Linked DNA regions of Rattus norvegicus. The main gene of each other region encodes a partner of the protein of the gene in region 3 in a complex. Links are inferred from orthologs where the notes say so. Each region holds a gene or a part of one and is shown on either strand. Other genes may lie near its edges.

What was found.
Region 1: Polr3e (region 3) and Polr3f share a complex: the UniProt entries of both Homo sapiens proteins name them as parts of the RNA polymerase III complex. The link is inferred for Rattus norvegicus from reciprocal best matches to the Homo sapiens genes POLR3E and POLR3F.
Region 2: Polr3e (region 3) and Polr3k share a complex: the UniProt entries of both Homo sapiens proteins name them as parts of the RNA polymerase III complex. The link is inferred for Rattus norvegicus from reciprocal best matches to the Homo sapiens genes POLR3E and POLR3K.

Annotation. Positions count from the first base shown.
Region 1 is NC_086021.1:152,358,750-152,366,641, reverse strand, and holds the start of Polr3f (DNA-directed RNA polymerase III subunit RPC6), read right to left. Parts: upstream 4,845-7,892; 5' UTR 4,799-4,844; coding exon 4,572-4,798; intron 3,777-4,571; coding exon 3,659-3,776; intron 1-3,658. Other genes in the region: Dzank1 (double zinc ribbon and ankyrin repeat-containing protein 1), read left to right, coding at 6,769-6,877. UniProt on the Homo sapiens protein: DNA-dependent RNA polymerase catalyzes the transcription of DNA into RNA using the four ribonucleoside triphosphates as substrates.
Region 2 is NC_086021.1:189,356,297-189,364,188, reverse strand, and holds the start of Polr3k (DNA-directed RNA polymerase III subunit RPC10), read right to left. Parts: upstream 3,841-7,892; 5' UTR 3,777-3,840; coding exon 3,666-3,776; exon of another isoform or gene 3,664-3,665; intron 2,457-3,663; coding exon 2,369-2,456; intron 346-2,368; coding exon 218-345; 3' UTR 1-217. UniProt on the Homo sapiens protein: Core component of RNA polymerase III (Pol III) which synthesizes small non-coding RNAs using the four ribonucleoside triphosphates as substrates. Can mediate Pol I proofreading of the nascent RNA transcript.
Region 3 is NC_086019.1:184,919,292-184,925,895, reverse strand, and holds the end of Polr3e (DNA-directed RNA polymerase III subunit RPC5), read right to left. Parts: intron 6,409-6,604; coding exon 5,891-6,408; intron 4,180-5,890; coding exon 4,102-4,179; intron 2,211-4,101; coding exon 2,085-2,210; intron 1,132-2,084; coding exon 1,075-1,131; 3' UTR 358-1,074; downstream 1-357. UniProt on the Homo sapiens protein: DNA-dependent RNA polymerase catalyzes the transcription of DNA into RNA using the four ribonucleoside triphosphates as substrates.

The DNA.
Region 1 (7,892 bases), on a different chromosome or scaffold from region 3:
GGCTGAGACTTGTACTCACATGTTGCTAACAGGGGACTGTGCTAGTGGATATTTGTCTCTACAACCTCTCAGTTCTAGGCTTCCTATGTGTATAGATATTTGGTCATTCTCAGATTTCTGACGGGGTTGAAGACTGATTATAGTTTCATAGCCTATCAGGCTGTTTAACTCTGGAAATACATATTTTATTGGATAATTATCAGACAGTATAGAAGCTAGCCAAGATATAATATAAATTTTAAGCCTTTCTTAAGCTGGAATGGATAACTAAATGTTCTGTTTAACTGATAGAGTGTTGGACTGGGTGTTAGATATATTTTATGCTTTTAATTACAAAATGATAATAGTTGTGCTCAACTTATATTTGAGAGAAAAGTTTTTTTTAATTAGACAAAAAGGATGAATTGTGGGATGATGTCACAGGTGAAGCAGGTACAAGATAGAAGGAGGCCTGTCATTGGAAAAGGAAGGATGGGCGGGAGAGAAGTTTGAAAGAAGAGGAGGAGGCTGGAATGGAAAGGAGGAAGAGACAGGAGGGAGAGGGAGAGAAGCCGTGGCAGGACAATATGGCGGGTGACGTTAAGATTCCACGCTGTACCTTTACAGGTTGTTACGAATGTTTTTAAGGGATGAATGTGTACTGGGCTTTGTATGTTTATGTGGGCAATTATATCTTATCAACTAGGCCAAAGGTTATTGTGTTGTACGTTCTTTCGTGTGTAGATTTAAGTGTAACAGAGTGTGGGGCAGCTGGTCTGGGTCACCATGGAGTTGGGATGTGTGTTTCTGGCATGGAAACCTGCCTTGGGAGCTAGATAGGTAGAGAGAGTGCTGCCAGGCTCAGAGAGAGGCCTTCGGCAGTGCGATGTGGGATGGAGCAGAGCAGGTGAGACGCTTGCTGACTGAGAATTAAGATATCCAGCAGATATCTTGGGGCACTGAGGTGCCGGACCTAGAGGGGGATAAAAGACAACCTTACATTTTTTATTTTTTATATTTTTACAACAACAGCTGGGGTTCAGTTCTCAGTACCCACATGTGGCTCACAACAGTCTCTAACTTAAGTTCCAGGAGATCAGGGTCCTCTTCTGGCCTTTGTCAGTACCAGGCATGCATACAGAACATGGACAATACGTGCATGCAAAATACTCACACACATTAAATAAAAATAAATCTTTTTTAAAAAGTTATTTTAGGATAATATATATATAAATCCATATTGAAATCTAAGTAAGTCCCAATTATGTAAAATATGGGTAAATATAATTAAAAATAGAATTTGTACTGATAAAAATTTAGTCCAGATAAAGCATAAATATGAATATTCAACAGCATACTAAGTTAAACTATAGTTCTTAATGATTTTACTAATATATACAATTTAACTCTGTGATAGGAGAATTAGGCAAAAAGATTAACAAATGAACAAAGGGTCTCTAGGAGTGGTACTTTATCATGCTCTTTGAACCCCCTTAGGCCTAGGCATCTAGAGAATCCAGATATGTGTACTGAATTTTCAGCAATTACAAGAACCATAACCAAGTAGGGTGCCCTACTGTATGTTAAGAATGTAAAATAGGTTTACTTACTGGATAAACTGCAACGCTCTCCCTTCTTTATAAAATTCGAAGTGGGATCACAAAACTCAATTCAGAGGTTCCCTTCTGTCATTTATTCAGGCTATTCTAGTCAATTACTAAACACGTGTACTGTACCATTGTTGGGAGAGCTGTTTAAGTGGACAACTTGTTGAATTATAGGGCGGAGGACTGAACATACTATGCAAGCTAAGTGAATGTTCTACCATTGAGCTATATTCCAAACTCTCAAAGGGAAGCACACAGATGACTACAACACTATGCTTATGAGAGACAAAAAGGTGGATGCACAGTCAAGAGAGGAGACTGGCCCCAACCTGGGACTCCAAGTATCCAAGTATCCTGGGGATAGACACAGAGAGGAGTCCTGAAGGATAACAAGGAGTCATTCTACACAGAAAATGGAAGCCCATAAATCACCAACTTGTCTTCTGTGGGAGAAAACAGAAGTCACTGGCCCATTGTTTGCTTTTTTATTAATAAAATTTCATGAGGAAAAGCCACACCCACCTGTTCATGTATCACTGTTCACAGCTCATGACTGCTTCTTATTAAAATGACAAGTCATACAGTTGTGACAGAAACCAGTTGGGCCACAAAAATTATTTTATTTACTATTTCATAGAGAAGTTTGCCAAATTCTGAGCCACAAAGGTGAAGACAAAGGCTTAACAAAAGATTTGCCTATCCCTATCATCTGTGTCTAGTGCCTTGAGGTAAAACATCAGGTTGAAAGCTTTAGAAAAGAAAAGTCGGGCTGGAGAGATGGCTCAGCGGTTAAGAGCACCCGACTGCTCTTCCAGAGGTTATGAGTTCAATTCCCAGCAACCACATGGTGGCTCACAACCATCTGTAAAGAGATCCGATGCCTTCTTCTGGTGTATCTGAAGACAGCTACAGTGTGTACTTATATATAATAAATAAATAAATCTTTAAAAAAAAAAAAAAAAAAAAAGAAAAGTCATTCAGAAGAGGCCTAGTGTAAGACTCTTAACTAATAAAACCAAACCAAAACGTCCTCAGGAAAAAGGAATCAAATGGCTTGTGAAAGTAGAGATATAGGAGATCCAAAGCATCAGCCAGTGTCTGGTGGGACATTTTTCAAAAGTTGGAAGAGAGGCATTTGGGCTCCAAGTTCTTGAGTTTCAATGAAAATTCTACTGCACTGTCTCTGAAGCTAAGCCTGTACTTTTTCCCAAAGAAGTCCTCAGTGGGACTTCTTCCTGCTCTTAAAAAGCTCAGAGTTACACTGTGATACCCAATCAATAGGCTATTGATAACTCACCAAAAAAAAAAAAAAAAAAAAAAAAACCCAAAAAAACCAAACAAAAACCCACAGTGGAAATATTTTATAGGGAATGGCTAAAAGCTAGCAGCAGGAAGTAACAGGCCACACCCACATGCCCTTTTGTGTCAATGAAGATAATACCATAGTTATAACAGAATTGCATGCAGCTTCTTCATCTTGTCAAATGGCAGGCACGTAATTATCTTTCCTTCCAATTCAAACATGCTAATCCTTTCCCTGGTTTGGAATCAAATCAAAAATTCTGGCCTAACAATTAGTATATTGACTCACTAAAAAAAGAGGCTTATTATGCCATCATTAGTTCATACGATTATGGTGGGGGAGAATCCTTGTAAGTCTCCTGCAAGGTGGAGACTCGAGAAGGCCAGGGGCATACACCAATGTCGCAGACCTGATGCATTAGCCTCGGTGATGAAAAGTCCATGGTGTAGATGGAATCTTAAAGCCTAAGGACAAAGAGTGGTGAAGACTGGTCCTGGGACTCAAAGTAGGTTGGGGTAAGTTCTTCTGTCCTCCATTTGTTCTACGTAGGCTGATACTTAATTGGATGGGGCCCACTCACCTTCTACAGTCAGCACAGCAATTCAAATACCACATTCTAGAACATCCCAGAAACAGCATATAGGCAGATCTAGGAGTATCACGGCCCAGTCAAGTTGACACATGAAGTTAAACATCACAACTATGTGACAGGAGGCAATGAAATACATAATATACAACAAATTACATAAATTAGTTGAATTCACCTTACCATGGACAATAGTCTATTGATGGCCACTGCCCGTTGCTGGGCTTCTATGTGAGGCATTTCATTCTGAATTACTTGATCTGTGATTCCATGAGGGAACTGGTGGCATAATTCTATAATTCTAGGAACAAAGGTATTAATGATTTATGTTTGCTTGTTTTAAAAGGCAAAAAAGGAAGATGCATGATAGTTAAGCTAAAATCTCAGTTTTATCAATGGGAATAAGTACGGCAAATTGAATCCAAGGTCTGTGGGCAGAATGCAAATGTAGAATATGCGCACGTGTTCCTGTGCGTGTGCGTGTCTAGAGAGGGTTATAGTGATTCACCATAACTGGAGTCTGTTTGAGAAATTATCTTCTCCAAACAAACTGGAAGGATTAATTTGTTTGGAGGTGTAATAAGCTTACTACCCACAATAATAATGTTGAGAAAGTCGTTGTCTTTTTAACTACATTATAACCTAAAAACACATGTGCGCTGGGGGTTAAGGCACTCACTGAACCTACTTGGCTCAATGGTTCTTTGTAATCACAAACTGAACCCTAAATTGGCCCGAACGTTCTCTCACAGAACTTCCCTTGGCAACCGAGCAATACTGGATTCGAACACATGCCCAAGAACTAGGGGGAAAATGCAGGTCTTTTTTTCTGGCACTGGCTGCTGTCACGTTCCAAGTGCTCTAATAGAACCCCGGAGGAGCCAGTTACATAAAGTTTCAAGCTGTCACGCTGCTCTGGAGCTTCTGAAGAGTTCTACTCTCCCTAATCGGGAGGGGGACTCCCAGACAGCCGTCAACCCTGCTCCCGCGTGCTCAACTAGCCTCTTCCGTCCTCTCCCGGGGACCGAGAGAGAAGGGGTACAGCTATCCAGCTGACTGCTCGCCTAGCGTCGGGAACCTAGTTTCACTGCATTACCTGTTTTCTATTTCCACCGGATCCGCGTCCGGCGGCTGCACCTTCACCTTCACCTCCGCCATGAGGGTGGTTTTCAAGACTAGAGGAAAAGTGGCCCGGAGGAGCGCGCTGGAATTCTCGGGAACCGGTGGAGGCGCACGCCAGGGGTGGGGGCGTGGGAGGGACGAGGGACCTTCTTCCTTCGGTCGCGCCGGGCCTTCTTCATGAGGTCGGCTTGGGGCGCCCATGATGTGCCTGCTCCGCCTTGCTCAGCAGGGTCGCCGCAACTTGTCCTTTCTGTTGTCCCAAATTTCAGTACCTATCGAACGAGATCCTCTGGCTCCAGTGAGCTGAGTGAGGTCCCCTTCTTCAGTCTCTTCCAGCCGCTGAGAAGGCATATTCTTGGACACCTAAAAGAAAGTGTCGCAGAAGGAGCTGGGGGCGGGTACCAGACGGAGGCTGCAGCCAGAGACAAGGGCAGGGCTGGTTGCTAGGAAGTCGATTTCCTTGCCAATCATCTGCTCGGCTCCTGGTGGGCGGGGCGCGGTCCGCAGCGTCTGTGGTAACGCAAGCTGCTGCGGAGGAGCAGTCGTGAGGCGGTGAGAGTCTAGACACCCGGTTGGCGGCAGTGGACGTGCGTCGGGGGTCCTTATCTCTGTCCTTGAGGCTGGAGGAAGGTGAGGAGAAGGGCACCTCTCACTGGGTTGGGAGGAATCTAGGCGTCTCTGACTGCCTCGCAAGGCCAGGACATGACGCGGGTCTGGGTCTTGGTTTGGGCAGCGAGGAGGTTGGTTCAGGTGAAGGATGCTGGGAGATGCTGGTGGCATGACACCGACACCAGGCTGCAGTGTGGACCTAGCGAATCAGCCATCTCTGTCTCGTGATGGTCCATTGACCACCCCAGATTTCCAAGAGCAGCTAATAGCTAACCGTGAGCACCTCAGTCTCTAACCATCGGTGTTTATTAGAATCTAGTTTTCAGCTATCTTTATTTTAATTGACTCTCAATCGAAGGGAAATGTGAAGGTTGGTAAATCCCTCTACAACCAGCCTCATTTATGAAGGGTCAGATAGCTGTAGTTTTTATGCTTGGCCCTCAATCTGGAACTATCATAAATTCGTCTTTTAAATCTAATTATCCCACTTTCCAGAACAAGATATGTCAAAACGCAAAGATGTTCGCAGCAACATTATCATAATTCCGTCTACCAAACTTAAAAAACAAAACTATAACCTCACCATTGAACAACAAATTGTTAAATGAAAAAATTTAAGTAAGCCAGGCATGGTAGCACATGCCTTTAACCCCAGCGCTTGAGAGGCAAAGGCAGGTGGATCTCTGTGAATTGGAGGCCAGCCTGGTCTACAGATCAAGCTCCATGACAGCCAGGGCATTATATTATTTGTCTTGGAAAAAATGAGGATGCAAAATGTTGATTATAAAAGTAAGATGAATGTGTACATTATAATTGAATAATTGTGTAGCCATAATCATTGAAACAGCAGTGCAAAATGCAAATACTGGATTAAGAGGACTCCTCCCACTTCAGTGAAAAGACCCATAACGTCTCTGTACTGCTATTTACAAAACAGTAGAGCGAATAGGAAACTGTTGGTTTATAGCCATGTCAACTTCCTTTCTATTGCGAACAGATGCTCTGCAGTCTTTGCAGTATATTTCCAAAATACAATACACTGCAGTGGCAAAGGTAAGACTGTGGGGCTTAGAACTTCTTTTAAGATTTGGCTCTAAATAATTCATGCTATGTGCAGAGTTACTCGCTCCCCTTATGTAATGAGTTGCCTTGAAGTCAGGAGAGTGAGTGTGTATGTGTGCCCTTGCTGAAGGCAGTGAAGAGTGAATGATCTCGAGGGAAGTGAGCTCAGAGCATTAGTGGTGGATTCTGCTCTGCCTCATCCATTAACCTGCCCTTTTAAAGCAGCTCCAGTCTCCTATTGAATTTGACTGCTTGCCTTTATGAGATGTAAAGTATTTAGCTGAATATCCAACTCCAGACCTCAAGAGCAAACATACAGCTAAAATGTAAAGATTTCATTCATTAAATGGGGCATTATCTGTAGGTGGCATATCAATGATCTGTTCTTTAGGCTTTACTGGCTTCCTCCATTTAAAATACGTAGCACTCTGTAGTTTTCATGTTCGGGAATAGGTTCATGATGGAATTTTTAAATCTATCTTTTTATATAAGGAGAGAACATGACTGCTGGTTCAGTGTGTGCCCCTCAGATCATACCACTGCGAGTGCCTCAGCCTGGAAAAGCTAACCATGAAATTGATACCAATACTCTTTTGGAAATGAAATCCGGTAGGAATCACATGCATTTTCAATTATTTAAAATAACACCGTCATACTCTGTGTTCATGTGTTACTAATATCTTTGCATGTTTTCTATATTGGGGCTTTAGAAGTTTGCAAATCTTCCATATATTGAAAGTGTTGTTCTTTGGTGATTCGTAGAGTGGCATGTATGTGTTTGTTTATCATGAGATGAGATCTTATGTGACCAAGATCAGCCTTGAATTCAATACATAGCCCAGCTGAACTTGAACTTGCAGCAAACCTCCTGTCTCAGCCAGGAGACAAACAGGTTGCTAGTGGCAACACCCTCTTGACTCACCCGAGTCAAGGTGAGATATCCAGTTGTATTCCCAACCTTTCTCAGGATGCTTATTACTTTGCTGAGATAATAAATTTGACCTACAAAATACAGATTTTTTTTTCTGGTATAAATAGAGATTGAATTCCGGTTTGACAACCTTGCCGGCCTTGGGCCCATTACTCAATTTTTCTGAGTGTCAGTGTCCTCATGCTAAGATGGGACAACCATACTTACCACCAGGAGCACTTGGAGGATTAAATGAGTAACTGTGTACTAGTACCTATCCACTGCTATATTGAGTTGGTTTATCTGGGGCATGCAAGACTTAGCTCATAAAAAACCTCAACTATTAAATCTGTGTAGATGTTTATATATAATCCACCTAAAGACGTTTCATAAATAAGCTATATAAAGTACTTGCATTGAGATGTTTAGATTCCAATTACATAAATATCTACCTAATTCTGATGGTTTAAATGTATAAAACTTGTTTATCTGCACTTATAGAGATATTTCTGGACTGCTTAGTCAAAGATTTTGAAGAATGAACCATATATTGTACCATGCTCTCTTTTATCTGAAAGGCTAATGTGTTTAATAATTTAGACATATGAACTTATAACTCTTAGAAGAAGTAGGGGTATTATTGAAAATTGATGGCATGAATGATAGGGGTCTCTATACTCTAATATTTAAATGTCAAATAAACAGAGTTGCCAC
Region 2 (7,892 bases), on a different chromosome or scaffold from region 3:
AAAAAGACTGGCTAAAACCCAAGTTCCAAGTTCGAATGTAGGACCAGGACCTGAGCCAAGTGACATCCTTGCGTGGAGCTCCCAAGGACCTGAGAGCCGCTAACTTGCAGATGAGCTCTATTCACCCAGGTCCTTCACCACAGAAGATCGGCTTCCTACCATACAGTAAAGACCTTCAGCACACAGAAATCATGCTCACAGCTAGGCAAGTCCGGCCCTAATCCCTCCAGCGATGTCCACACTGAGCATTGCAGCACTTATAGAAGGTGGTCATTGGCTCGTCCGCAGAACGGGTCTGAAGCTGCATGAAGTAGGCACGAGGATGCTCACATTTTGGACATGGCTCTGGCAAACAGAAAAGCAAGTTTCCACATTACAAACACTGTTAAATGTGGGCAAACATTTCATCCTCATGCTCATCTACACTCCTCTGCCAAAGGCGAGGTTGCCAATAGCAACACCCTTTCCACAGCACATCAACAAGGAGACCAGAGAGACCTTGTTTTATAAAAGCAACAAAAGTCCTGAAATTTGAAAATGAGTAGAGGCTTAAGGTCTTTTTGAACCCCCTCCCCTTCCATCCCTGGGTTCCACTTCCCTTCTCAAATCTGGTTGAATGGCTGGAAATAGCCTGGGAAGGGTCTGTTATTGTCTCCTTTGTGGGAATGTAACAAAAACACAGCCCACTGAGGTAGCCGGCGGCCAGAATCTAGCACTTGGGAAACTGAAGTAAGAAGCTTGCAACAAAGCCAGCCTGGAATACACAGCAAGATTCTATCCTAAAGATAAACAAATAGCTTAAAACAAACACATAAAGGCCTCAAAGTCACTCAGTAGCTAAAATAAGATTGAGATGATCTTCCTGTCTCCATCGCTCAGCTGTGCTACCGTCCCTAGCTAATGACAACAGAGGAGATCTGGATATTCCTCTACAGAGGAAAAGATTGCCAATCACACATGTGCTCGTCCTTCTAAAAGAGGTACTAGGCCATTTTCTCTCATTCCATTATCACATTTAAATTTATCAAACAAATCAAGATGTAAACATTTACTTTTTAATACCTCCAGTTGCAAATATCAACCCCCCCCCCTAATTTTTTATAATTATTTTATGTGCATGTTTTGCCTTTGGGTAGTCTGTGCACCACGTTCATGCAGTGTCCCTGGATGCAAGTAGAGGGTATTAGATCACCTGAAAGTACAAGTACAGAAGGTCTGAGCTGCCAGGTGGAAGTTGGGAAGGAAACCCAGTCCCATGCTCTCAACCACTGAAATCCTACCCCACAGCTATTTATCGGTTGACAGAATGGCTGAGCCAGGGTCTCAAAAAGCCCAGATAAGCACTGAGCCTTCTGCCTCCACTCAGAGAGCACCAGAATCGTAACTGGAATCATAAGCTTGAGCAACCATCCTTCGTCCACAGTTATAATTTTTTTAAATCCATGTAATAAAAAATAAAACGAAATGAAAATAAAAGACTAGGGCTGATCATTTTCTCAGTGTTGGTATTTGAAAATACATACAACACAATTTTCATGAGAAGTCCACACCCACTAGAGCATGGATCCCCCCTTCCCAACAACTATATATAAATCAATGCTGAAATTTTTTGTAATGAACTCTAAATTTGCTTCAAAAAGAGAATATTTGCCAGATTTATTTTTTAATTATACTTGTCCACATCGGACTTGAGACTCTAAATGAAACAACGGTTCAGGTATCACTATAGTAACTTTGCTTTAAAGAATCCTTGAAAGAATCTACTTTTAAAAAAATGTTATTACAGCCAGGTGTCAGTGGCAGATACTTTAGTACCAGCATGTGGGAGGCAGACAGGTGGATCTCCGAGGTCAAGACACTCAGAGCTACACAGTGAAACCAGGTCTCAAAAAAACAAAATCAATTAACAACAACAAAAATGTAAAAGACTTTAGAGTGCCTACACTGTAATTAAAACACATCACCAAAATATTTCATGCACTAGCTATTTGATATTACATTGTTATTTACATCTTCTTAAGTTCTTTTACACTTGTGCACGCCCATGTGTGCATGGAGGGTGGTACAAAATCTTCCCATGAGTCAGTTCTCTCCTACTATCTGGGCTCCAAGAATCAAACTCAGGCTAACAGATCTGGCAACAAGTGCTTTTACCAGGGTATCTTGCTGGCCCTAATAACAGACAGGACTGCATTATAATACTAAGTTTATTATTAGTATTAAACACCGAGGGCTGGAAATACAGCTTTCTGGGTTCCAACACAAGCACCACACACACAAACTAGCGAAACAATATAAATATAAAATATAATAATAAGTAATAACAAACAAGGTTGAGTCACTGGCTCTGTTACGGGAAAATCCTCACCTGCAGTAGAGTCCACATTCTCCCAGGCAGCTGCTCCACCAAGCACATCATCCACTTCTTTTAGCTTTGGATACTTTCGGTTTGTTACCTAACAGACACAAGCCACCAGATTGGAAGTAATTGTACAGTTTTACAAGTCGGTCACTAAGCCACAACTCCCTCCAGCATTTCCTCTACAAAATTTGTCTTCTTCAAAGAGCAGTGTGAGTCACTAAAATGTAGGGGTTTTGTGACTCGGATGTTCCTCCAAACAGAACAGAGGTTCTAGAGGTTCAGACCTCTAGAGACCGAAGGAAACACCAGACAGAACTGAAAGGAAAAAACAGCCTAGTAAAACCTTGCTCTTCTCTCATACCCCTAGGACACCTAATAATCCAACAGGAAAGACAGACAAATGAAGTCACTTAGCTGGGTATACCAGCACCCCAGGTCACATTTGGATGCTTTCCTATGTTTATCAGGCATCCCTGGAAATTAGAAATTCTGTCACAATTCATCTTACCACAAATCCTGACTCTAAACCCCTACCACACAGCTCTAATGTGCAAACATTAGGAACGAGGAGTCACCAAGGCCCAGTGCTGCACAACTGCAGTCACTGAACTAAGGCACGGAGGTAAAGAGGAACGGGAATTAAGGTACACAAAACACCGAGGGCTGGAAACACAGCTTGCTGGGTTCCAACACAAGCACTACACACACAAAGTAGCAACAACGATATAAAACATTAGAAGACAATGAATTCTGTGAAAACCTTAAGGGAATGAGGATAAACAGAAAGAACTGGGTTTGGCTTTTCTGTGCTCTGTGTGTGCTATGCAGCCCAGATGAGCCTTGAACCTATTCTCCTGCCGAGTGCTAGAATTATAGGTGCACAAACAGCCGCACGGGCTGACATTTAAATAAGGCAGCCATTATTTTAAAAGAGGAGAGGGAGAGAGAAACAGGGAGGCACACATGCACCAGAGACGGGGGAAGAGGGAGACGAGAACGAGAAGTGCGTCACTCTGCGTAGTTATTCAGGGAAGACCGACTCGGGCGGAGGGAAGAACCTGACAGCACTGCGTGCAAGAAGATTCTCAGGAATCAAGATAGGGGATGGGAGCAAACGAGCAACTAAAGAACCCGAGGATTTGAAATCAGAGGTGAGGAGCGGACTGGAATCTGCGAGGTCCAGCGTAGGGGGATGAACTAAAATTCGCACAATTTCTGAGCGGGCAGCGGGGAGGTCCGAGCGCGCCGACGCCTGCCCTGGGCCCCGCGGACCGCAGGGAGAGCTCCGGCCTGTGGACCTCACCTTGCGGGTGATGTTATGGACGTACGGGCACGTGTTGCAGGCGAAGCGGTGACAGCGCTGCCCCTCCTCCACAATGAGGCCGTTCCCGCAGCCCGGGCAGAACAGCAGCATTGCTCAGCTCCCACACGGCGGCTCTGTGTGGCGCTGCCGAGGTTCAGGCGCCCAATCTGAAGCCGTCTCCCTTCCTCCGTTACGGGCAACCGGCGATCGGCAACACGTTCCCGGTAGGCACTGCGGCGGGCAGCCTCGCGCATGCCATTGGTCACCGCCGATGACCCTTCCCCATCCAGCCAATTGCATGCTGTCTGCACTCGCTGTCCGTGTAGCTTCTGCGCGTGCGCACATCTCCCTAGCTGAAACGCAAACTAATGGTGCCGGCAGATGGCAGCACCTGGGGAGCCTGATGGTGGTGAGCCGGACTGGGTGATGAGGTGCTGCTGAGCTGCAGTATCTAGGCCTGGAAACTTCTACCCTCTGTAAAATCTAATTCAGGCCTAGAAGGTTTTCAGCTTCTGAGACTCACTGCGGAATAAGCGCACCCCTTCTAGTTCTGAGCGCTGGTTGGCTGGTTCAACTCAGCTGTTCCGGCTCAAACTGATTGAATTTGGCTTCTCTCTCTCAGCCTTTCCTCAATTGCTCTGCTTGGCCTCATACTAACTTTGACAATCTGTTCTAATCTTCTGGCACATTCTGTCTTCATCTGTGTCTAGTTTGTTCTCTGTAAAAACTGTCCCAGGAAAACTGCCTCCTTCTCTCTCATGAGAGTTGGGCATACCCTATTCTGTACAAAAAAACAAAACAAAACAAAACAAAAAAAACAAAAAAAAAACTCTCTAATTCCCCACTTTGTCGGACACTCAAACATCACTTTTAAAAAAAATGATTTATTTATTTAAAGTACACTGTAGCTATCCTCAGACACACCAGAAGAGGGCATCAGATCTCATTACAGACGAGATGAGATGTGGTTACTGGGATTTGAACTCAGGACTTCTGGAAGAACAGTCAGTGAACCACTGAGCCATATCTCCAGCCCTAGACATCATTTTCAAATATGGGTGATACCTTCTACAATCTAACCTGACCTTCATTGTTGGGCATTAAAGGAGCATTCTAAGGGCGTGTCTGTATTCCAGCCAGCGGGATTAAAGGTTGTGTGCCAAGGGCCGAGTCACACCACAACTAGAAACAGGTTTTTCCAGTAAACACAATCCCAGAGTTCATGGTATGATAAAGAAAAAGCCTGCAACAATGAACCTCCAGCTTCCAACCTTAGTCCTGAAGAGCTGATCTAAAACAGCTGGATGGTAGGTATTCCAGTAATAGCCTGAGGTCTACCATGTAGATTCTGGAGGCCCATGCGCAACACATGCACACTTTTCCTAGTCACTTGTGTCTCCTTGTTCCCAAATATTTGCAGGTGAAGAGGCTAAAGCATGGAGCCCCAGCTCAAGTCTCTGTTGGTTAACTCTGCATGTTTCTTTGAGGGATTCTTGGGGGGATAATTTAGGGGCTCTGATCATTATTTTACTAGGAACTGAGAAGCAGCTCAGTACAGGTGGGAGACCCATCATTATCTTTGCAAGGATTCTTGACAGAAGTGTGAAGAATGCAAACTACAACCCATGCCCAGAACAGGACTTCAACAACATCCCTCACAGGATGATCCAGAAAATAAAGTTGAAAGTCAGAGGCGATGTGCCCCAGGCAGCCACAGAGACTATCACATTGTTGCCTCCTTAGAATATCAAAGGGAACTGCTTTTTGTAAAGCCTCAGATTTTCTTTTTGTCTGCAAAACCCTCCATAGTAAATGGATATACACAGCTGTGTGATGGCTATTATTGGTTGTCAACTTGACTACATCTGGAATGAACTACAATCCAGAAATGTGAGGGCACACCTGTGATCCAGACCCTGAGACTGGAAGACCGGTTTCTGACCTGGATCTTGACCACAAAAAGCTTAGGTTCAGGTTAGGTAGCGCACTCTCTCTCTCTCTCTCTCTCTCTCTCTCTCTCTCTCTCTCTCTCTCACACACACACACACACACACACACACACACACACACACACACACGTTTAATCCCAGAAGATGCAGATCTCTAAATTCAAGGTCATCGTGGGACAAAACAAGTCCACACACACACACACACACACACACACACACACACACACACGTTTAATCCCAGAAGATGCAGATCTCTAAATTCAAGGTCATCGTGGGACAAAACAAGTTTCAGATCCAGGCGCGGTGGTACACACCGTCTGCTGGAGGCCACACGTAAGGACATTGGAAGAAGGAAGATTCACTCTTCTTCGCAGCAGCACATCTGTTGGAACTCACTCTATGGAAGACCAGCATAAACACCTAGCCTGTGGGACTGAGCAACTACTAGATTCTTGGGCTTCCCACTGTTGGGTTAGTTGGACTACAGGCTGTAAGTCATTACAATAAACCCCTTAATATATTGAGACATTCCATAAACTGGGTGACTCTAGTGAACCCTGACTAATACACCTTGTGAACTTATTTAGTAAACTCTAACATTGTTGAGACACAAATGTATTCATCTATGTTTCTAACATGGGGGCACTTACAACACACTGGAATGGATAACATCATTCACCACCTCCAGGCCTCAGCCCTTCCTTGATCCTCACCTTCACCACAGACCCTTGACCTATCCGATCTTAAGTGACCAAAAAACAAAACAAAACAAAACAAAAAACCAAAACAAAAAGCAAACCCAAACCTTTCAGGAAAAAAAAGCCTTCTTGTGATTGCTTTTCTTGTTTTCTGAAACAGGATCCTACATGAAGCCCAGATTGGCCAGGAGCTCCCAACCCAAATGCCTTTACCACTCTGTGCCACTGACCCCGAAAGTCTAACAATTCTTGCTGTTCCTTATCTGTTCTGTCTCCATGACATCATTACCTCCCTGTTTCTATCACTAGTTCACCAATGCCTTATGTTCAGTTTTCAGTTAAGTCTCAAACCTCAGCATTCAGATTTATTACTGACATACAGGTTCTCTATATGAACATTTATACGAGTATGAATCTCTATGAGATTCATGCTAATTAAAGCAAATGCTCAATGTATTGTTTCCCTTGAACATTCTCAAAATATGAGTACATGACTAAAATAGCAAATAAAGTTGTTCTTCAGAGTTCTCTTTTACAAGTACTATAAATTAAACAATACAAGTATCTGGTGAAGGAAAATTTAATGTGGAAAAAGAGGTGTACCAGTAAAATTGTCTTTAAATACTTATTTGATATGCATGTTTGTTCTCCCTGCATGAACGTAAGTCACCACATGTGTGCCTGGTGCTCATAGGACGTCAGAAGAGGAAGTCAGAACCTATGGAACTGGAATTACAGTCGGTTGTGAGCTACCATGTGGGTGCTAAGAACTGAACCTTCTGCATGGGCCATCTCTCCGACCCCATTATAGAGTCTTAAAAAGAATGTAACCAAGAATCCCATACTCAACACAGAAGCAATACTGAGAATAAAATGTCTTAACACTTTTTTATTGATTCATTTGTGTTTACCCATGTTTCCCCTCATTTAAAAAAAAAAAATCAGTGTTTCTAATTTCTTGGATTTTCAACTTTAAGTTCCACGTTGACAAATCTATTTTTATGTACACCTTTGATTCTTACATTACAACAGAAGTCACATGTTTAAAAATACCCACTCCTTAAAACATAGTCATTGTCAATATTTTGTTTACAGTACAGATCCTGAAGACAAACACTTGACTATATTAAGATTTATTAGTCTGAAAACAGAATGTAGGATATTTTGTATATACCGTCGGTATATACTGAATTCTGGCAGCAAAGTGTTTATGAGAAAATTTCAATTTTCCCTGGTAGTATAATATAAAGGCCAATCTACTTCTCACTTGTTACAACTATATTTAACTGAATTATGGTTTAAAATCACAAAGTGATAAAATATAAATACAAAATACTAAGAAAAGTTTAACATATAAAGAGAAAGTGTCTTATGTATTGTAATTTTTTAAAAATCCAGCATAAAGGCAAATGTGGCTTTTCAAAATGTAGCCCATATTCAGTCACAGGGAAAAAAATTCAATCAATCCTCCTAATATACAAACTTCACAGGTATCATTTATTTAATTTTATGTCCAAAATTTTCCAGGTAACATAAAAGTCTAGCTAACAATTAGAGTTAACATCAGGAAAGATCTGCAA
Region 3 (6,604 bases):
AACTATTTTAATGTAAGTACTAAAACCTTCAAGGTTAGTCAGCTCTCACATTCCCACAGGAGGAGTACTAGCTCCCTTCCCTACTTAAGAAGCTGGTGTTCACTTTCCATCCTCCTTCCCTTCCGCTTGCAAGTCTGCAGCGAGCTAAGGCCACTCTGTGACTGTCCCTGTGTGTGTGGCGGCCTCAGCAGTGTGAGCAGACCAGTCTTCAGACCAACCTTGCAAGGTCAAAGTGAGTATCACCTGGTGTGATGGCGTCATGGTCTCCCTTCTCTCTCTGTACTGAATGCTTAGACAGCACAGAGGACATTTTCTTCCTGCAACTATTTGAGGACAGCAGCACCATGATGCCAGTTTAGTGTTAGCATTTATTTTAAAAATACACAAAATATAATTTTTTTTACATCAAAGTGATAACCTCGCTTACACACTGTTCCACACTTACCTGGTTCCATTTGCACCTTTATGCAAACAGTAGGAGACGATGGAGTTAATAGAATGTTTGCTATGGTCTGTGTAAACAGTTGAGACCGCTACAGAAAGCAGGCTGCTGTATAAGGTAAAGTGGCCTTAGAAACCCAACAGTAAAATGTTCAATTTGGTTTAATAAAATTGGCAGAAGTCTTAGCAGAGAGAAACTCTAAGACTAATTATTAGCTTCTAGGCATTTTAAATATTAAAAACCTTAAGGTTCTCTTCATCTTGTAAACATAACTTTAACTATGTTGGCATTCATTTAAAAGAGGAAAATATTAAACCATGATTTTCATAATCCTGCCCATGTCAGTGTACACTCTCTTTATTATGAGAATGAAACCCAATAAGCAAAATACATCAGGAATTTCAAATTGTACTGCAAAGAAGGCCCGGCTGGTCTCTGTTGGGAGCGATCTCACTTACGCTGACCCTGCCACTGGCTGAGTGTGAGCCCCTCTGTCCTCTGGGCCAGGCAGTGCCACAGGCCACCAGGTGGGCAGATCCTCTTCCTGTGTCTTGAGGCAAGTCGAGACTACGTGTGGCTCTGCCGTCCTTCCCTGGGCTTGGGTTCGTTGAGTTAGTGGTTTGCTACTATTGTCAGGATTGTACTGTCCCCTTAAGGTACCACATGCCACCACAGCTTACACAACAGTCCTAGAAATTAAGAAAACTGGGTAAGGGCAGGTTCCGGCAGGAGAGAGCTATTGCTGTCACAGCCTGACTCACGATTAGCGGACAGAGTGCAAACAGGACATCAAAACCTGCCTAAGTGTGCTGTTGGGTAGCCGCTTTGACCCTATCGGGTTTCCAGCCACCATACCTCAGGGACATTTTAAGATGTGTTACAGATTTTGCTGTATCAACAGAAAAAAACTTTTCAAGTTGACTACGACAAGGGACATATTAATAAGGCCTATTGTCTACATGACTAAAGGTAACAGGGAATGGGGCAGTGGCTTTCTGTGCCCACCTCTACAATGCACACAGTTCATGAGAGCATTCAAAGTGTTTTCACATTAAGCAAACAGAAACTCCTCTTTGTCGTTGTTGTTTGGAGGCACGGTTTCTCTCTGTAGCCCTGGCTGTCCTGCAACTCACTCTGTAGATCAGCCTGGCCTCAAACTCAGATCTGCCTGCCTCTGCCTCCTGAGTGCTGGGATTAAAGGTGTGCGCCACCAGTGCCAGGCAGTATCCCTTTTTTTTTTTTTTTCTTTTTTTTCGGAGCTGGGGACCAAACCCAGCCTAGCAAGCGCTCTACCACTGAGCTAAATCCCCAACCCCCAGTATTCCTTTTTTAATTAAAATTAAAAAAAAGATTGTACTGTCAATTATACAAGTGGGTGCAAGATGATGTACACCTCCTCATACCCAGTCCAACTCTGCGGCATGAAAAGGCTCACTTTCCTGCCAGGGTACCAGTGCTAGTCACTGCCAGTTGATGGCCATCAGACTGGTGGGCACTAGGGCTAAGCTGTTCTGATTTACTATATACACAGCGGGAACAAAGATACCAGACACAACCTTTCCACGTATGTGTGTCCTTAAAACAACAGGTCAAAGTCACAGCCTAGATGCTCTGCGTGACATCTTGTGCACAATGGACATACCTTTAGCACTTTATCCACCTCCTGCTTGCTTAGCTCTTCTCCACATTCTTGAGTCAGCCGAGACTGGATCATATTCCGACGTACTCGGTAATTTTTGGAAAATATTTCAAGCAAAACCTGTCGATGCTTTATTTAATTTAAAAAAAAAAAGTGTTAGTTCGATAGTGATAGTATCCCAAATGTGAACTATCCCCAAACAAAAGATCCAAAATGATGGCGCTGGCCCCACCTTGCAGTGTCTAGTGGCTTAGCACTCCTGGTTAAAGATTAGCAAGACCGACCTATTGGTCACTGTTGCAGACTTCAGTGAAGGAACTCAGGATGAGCAGTTTGGACATACAAGGAAGTGAGCAGAAGCATCTAGTTTAGACTGGGTGGGGGAAAGGTATCTAAATTGGTTCAAAGTCTAGACACAAGCATAACACTGAATCCAGGAAACTGGAAAATGCACCAAACTCCTAAAGAGACATTAAATAGCAGAGGACAAATAAGGCCATCCTCAAAACAGAAGGGAAGAATGAAAACTGACTGCAGAGGGTGATGACTCACACACACCTCACAATCCCTGTTGGGAAAGGGGCATCAGCATGAGTTCAAGGCCAGTCAGGGCTACAGTGAAAAATTCTGGTCTCAAAAAATGGGCAAAGACGACATCTAGTAGGTTTAATAGCTCAAATGTCTATAAGGATTCAAAAAGGTAAAGAAATTTATCAGCCTACAGGATTCTCTAAGAGCCCAACTGTCTAGTAAATAAAGAATTCAGAATACATCAAGGTCCTACCAGTGTAGGGAACAATATACGCCATGCAGTTTGCAGTTAAGGGAAGATCTCACGAGAAGAGTATCACTGAATTTCAACTTTGAAATGATTACGATACCCTCTTCCTAACGGGGGGAAATTATTTGCCCTGTAAAATTTTAGTTCTATTAGTACCAGCAGTACTTGAGGGCAGAAAGAAAGAACGCTGTCGATATCCCATCAGAGGCTAAGACTCTAGACACAGGAAGAGCCACACATGGAGAAGCAGTGTCCTCACATTCCACAGGAGTCGTGCTGCTGGTCTGCTGGGGTCAGAACAGCAGACTAGTGCACAGAGGAAGTGAGCGGTGAGATGGCTCAGCAGAGAAGGTGCCTGAAGGCCTGAGCTGGCTCTCTAGCCCCACATGTTGGAGAGGAAGCAGTAACTGCAGCATGAACATGTTCTGTGCACTAGCATGTGGTAACCACTGATCGGCTCACAGTCACAAACAATCGGTCACCTCTGAGGGCAGAGTCAGCTTCCCCACAGTTCTTTAGGCCCTGTTCAGTTTTAAATGAACTTACTACTTTTTTTCCCTTAGTGATCTGAGAAGCTAAGTAGGAAAGCCTCAAGCTACCTTTCTTGGCCAAAAACAGGGTCACTTCAGGACTCCTGTTAGAAGCGAGGCCTCATACCCACTCTTGCTCTCAGCCTTCCTGTCCCCCTGGCAAGTAAAAGGGAAACAGGCTTCAACAGGATTCACTCCTGTCTCAACCTGACTGGCATGTCTGCTAAAACCAAAACACTTTAATCTTTGGAATTCAGGCAAGTTCATGATTTAAAGGCATCTGGACCTCAGCTCTTTCCCAGAGCTGAACTACCCAAACACTGGAGACAGGATCGCAGAACAAAATAACCAAACTCCAGGTTTAAGACAGCTAATAAAAAAGCCACTGAGAACTCTCCTCTGCACGTGGTTTCCAAGCCTGCCTGCATCACTATCATAGAGCTCTAAAGCTCAGAGTGAGGCCACCATACTGCTGGAAACAGTCATCTTTTCAAAGGTGATACTGTTCTAATTCGACAGACATCCACCCAAGTTCAGGGGCAAACCACTGGCACACATGGCCTATCTTGGAGTGACTGGAAAACCTGACATGTCCAACTATACTCTAGTGTCAAGATTCTAATAGCCTCAACCTTCTAGGACTCCCGCTCTTAAAAAAGAAAGACGACAAAAAAAAAAAAAAAAAAAAAAAAAAAAAAAGGCACCTCACCTGGTCACTCATGTCTCCAGACTCCCAGAGGGCAAATACCTTCTGCTCATCAGGGGAAGCAGCAGTCTGTGGGGGAAACTGGCCCAAGCATGAGCTGGTCATTTCTCTGCCTTGTGATCTGCTGCCCTGCCCACTTCAACCCACCTAGCCTGCAACCCAGCCCTAGGCAAGAGCGGTCGAAGCCTAGTTCTCCCACTCACTGGCTCTGAGATGACAGTGCGACAACAGGTATTGGGATGGCATTAGTGTGTGTGATGCTGCTTTGAGGCATCTACCTGGACTTCTACTCTAAAGTCTCCTCTTCCCTAGCATTCCTCAGGGCTTCCGGTCAGCTGTTTCCCACAAGGGCAGCATAAGAAGTGTGGCTAAAACAGGATGTTGGCAGACTCCCAAGCCTTTTATACCACTTGCTTCAGGGGCAACCAGAGGATGACAGTCCTGGCACTTAAAAAGATCAGGGAAAATGCCAGCATTGTGCCTATAGCCTCCTTTCTGTAGTTGGTACTAGTGCTCACTAACACATAAAGACTGGCACAGGACTTGAGCAGCACTGAGGCGTCGCTTGCCCTGCCCATTCGCCATATCAAGTTCAGAGCTGTTCACTGTCTACAGGTACTTAGCTCAGAGTAGTAAATCACAAGTTAAACTCGGGTCTTTAACTTGCCTTTTCTTCTTGGACATGCTATGAATATGGCCCTTGGGGTCAAACTGCTCCACACAAGCCTGGGATGTTCTCTAGATGCCAGCACTTCTGAGAGGAAGGAGCATGGCCAAGGAAATTCTGAGGTGGGCAGGAAAGAGCACCACTTTCATAGAAGGTTCCTCATCCTCCATCCATGTGGGTAGCCTAGGCAATCCCACTTCTACCAGGCTAGTATCCTTTTCTTGCCCAGTACACAGAAAAGTAGGCCTGTAGAATACTGGCTGCACTTAGGGTAGCCAGGAACCCAATGCCAGCATCTTACAAAAGCAAACCTTGGCAAGGAAATTCCACCAACAGGGGGCCACAGAGCCTCTTGTCTTGTTCCTTACACACAGAGGCAGGGCCTTGGCCTAAGCATCGTCCTAGGCTAGGCACAGGTGCGTGTGAGCTTGGTGCTGCACACGGTATACTCCCTATCTATAAGACAGCATAGTCACCTCCCTTCTGTCCTAGCTGATTTGCTTCCTGGGCTGGCTAGAGCCTAGGAATGAGCCACGCAGCTTCCTTCACACTGTACCCAAACACTCCTTTCCATCAAAGGCAACAGTCTCTGGCCCCACTGTGGAGCCCACTCCATGGGACGGAAGGACCTGAAGTAGAGGAGGCTCATTCACCACCTCGATGCCTACTGCAGAGGCTGGAGCTTATATGGTCAAAGAGCCTAAAGGCCAGGGAAGCCATGGTTTCCCTATGTGGGGAAGTGCTAAGCTACCTTCTGTGAAAGCAAGCTTAGAGCCTCCAGACTGAGGTTCAAATTCTAGCTGTGTCACTCATGCCCTAGAGACTAACTAAATACCAATCAGGTAAAGGCTTATGTTTAATGAGGCCCTGATAGTGCCTGCGGAATCTCATATTCTTACCTTCCTATGGTAGAAAAACTAACACACCCACTTCAGATGAGGTCAGGAAGCCATCTGACAAACACAACATGTACCCTATCCACATGCAGCCTCAGAGCCACTGTCCCTAAGACAGACACACAGGTTTCTCCCCATGCTTCTTGATTCCTAAGAAGGTGAAGATTGCCCAGCTGCCCTCCTGAAGGCTCTGACTGACCCTGGCCTGGCAGACACAGGCTTTACTTACAGGCACCAGTATCTGCTTGCAGCCAGCGGCCAGCACCGTATCCTGTAGCATTCGGTCTGAGACACCACTGAAGAGTGTGTGGCCCGGGGGCAGGCCTGCCAGGTGCAGGTTGAAGAGGCGCTTGAGTTCGCTCAACGTGAGCACAAACTGTCTCTGAAAGGTGGCTTCCACAAAAGCCTTCAGTTCCCGGGCAACCGGGTTGCTGGCACAGCCTGGAATTGGGTGCCCATTTAGGCTGTCCCCACCCACTGCCCGCCCAGCAGGCAGCCCATTGGCCAACTTGGTGCTGAGGCAACTACTGGGTGCAGTGTCCATGGGTTCTTCTTCCTCAGCCTCCAGCTCATCCCCATCGGCTTCCTCCTCACTCAGGGGTTCCTCCTTGATCTGCACGCTGGGCAGGACTGTGGTTCCCCGAATCTGCTCCTTCCGTCGCTGCAGCTCACGCTCCAAGAAAGCATGGTTCTGCTGGGCCTTGGTTTTGGCTGTTTGGACCCGCTGTTCCCCAGAGACAACAGGCGCTGTGTAGACAGACAATATGGCTCAGAAGGGCACAGATCTCAGACAGACAAAGCATGAAGACAGAGAGCAGGGGACACCAGAAGACAGCTCCTGAAGGAAGAAATCATGTGCTGTCTTCCACCTTTCCTTGCTCAGGAGAAATTTTGCTATCTAAACTGAGGGGAGAAATCTAACTGGGCACAAAATTACAGAGCC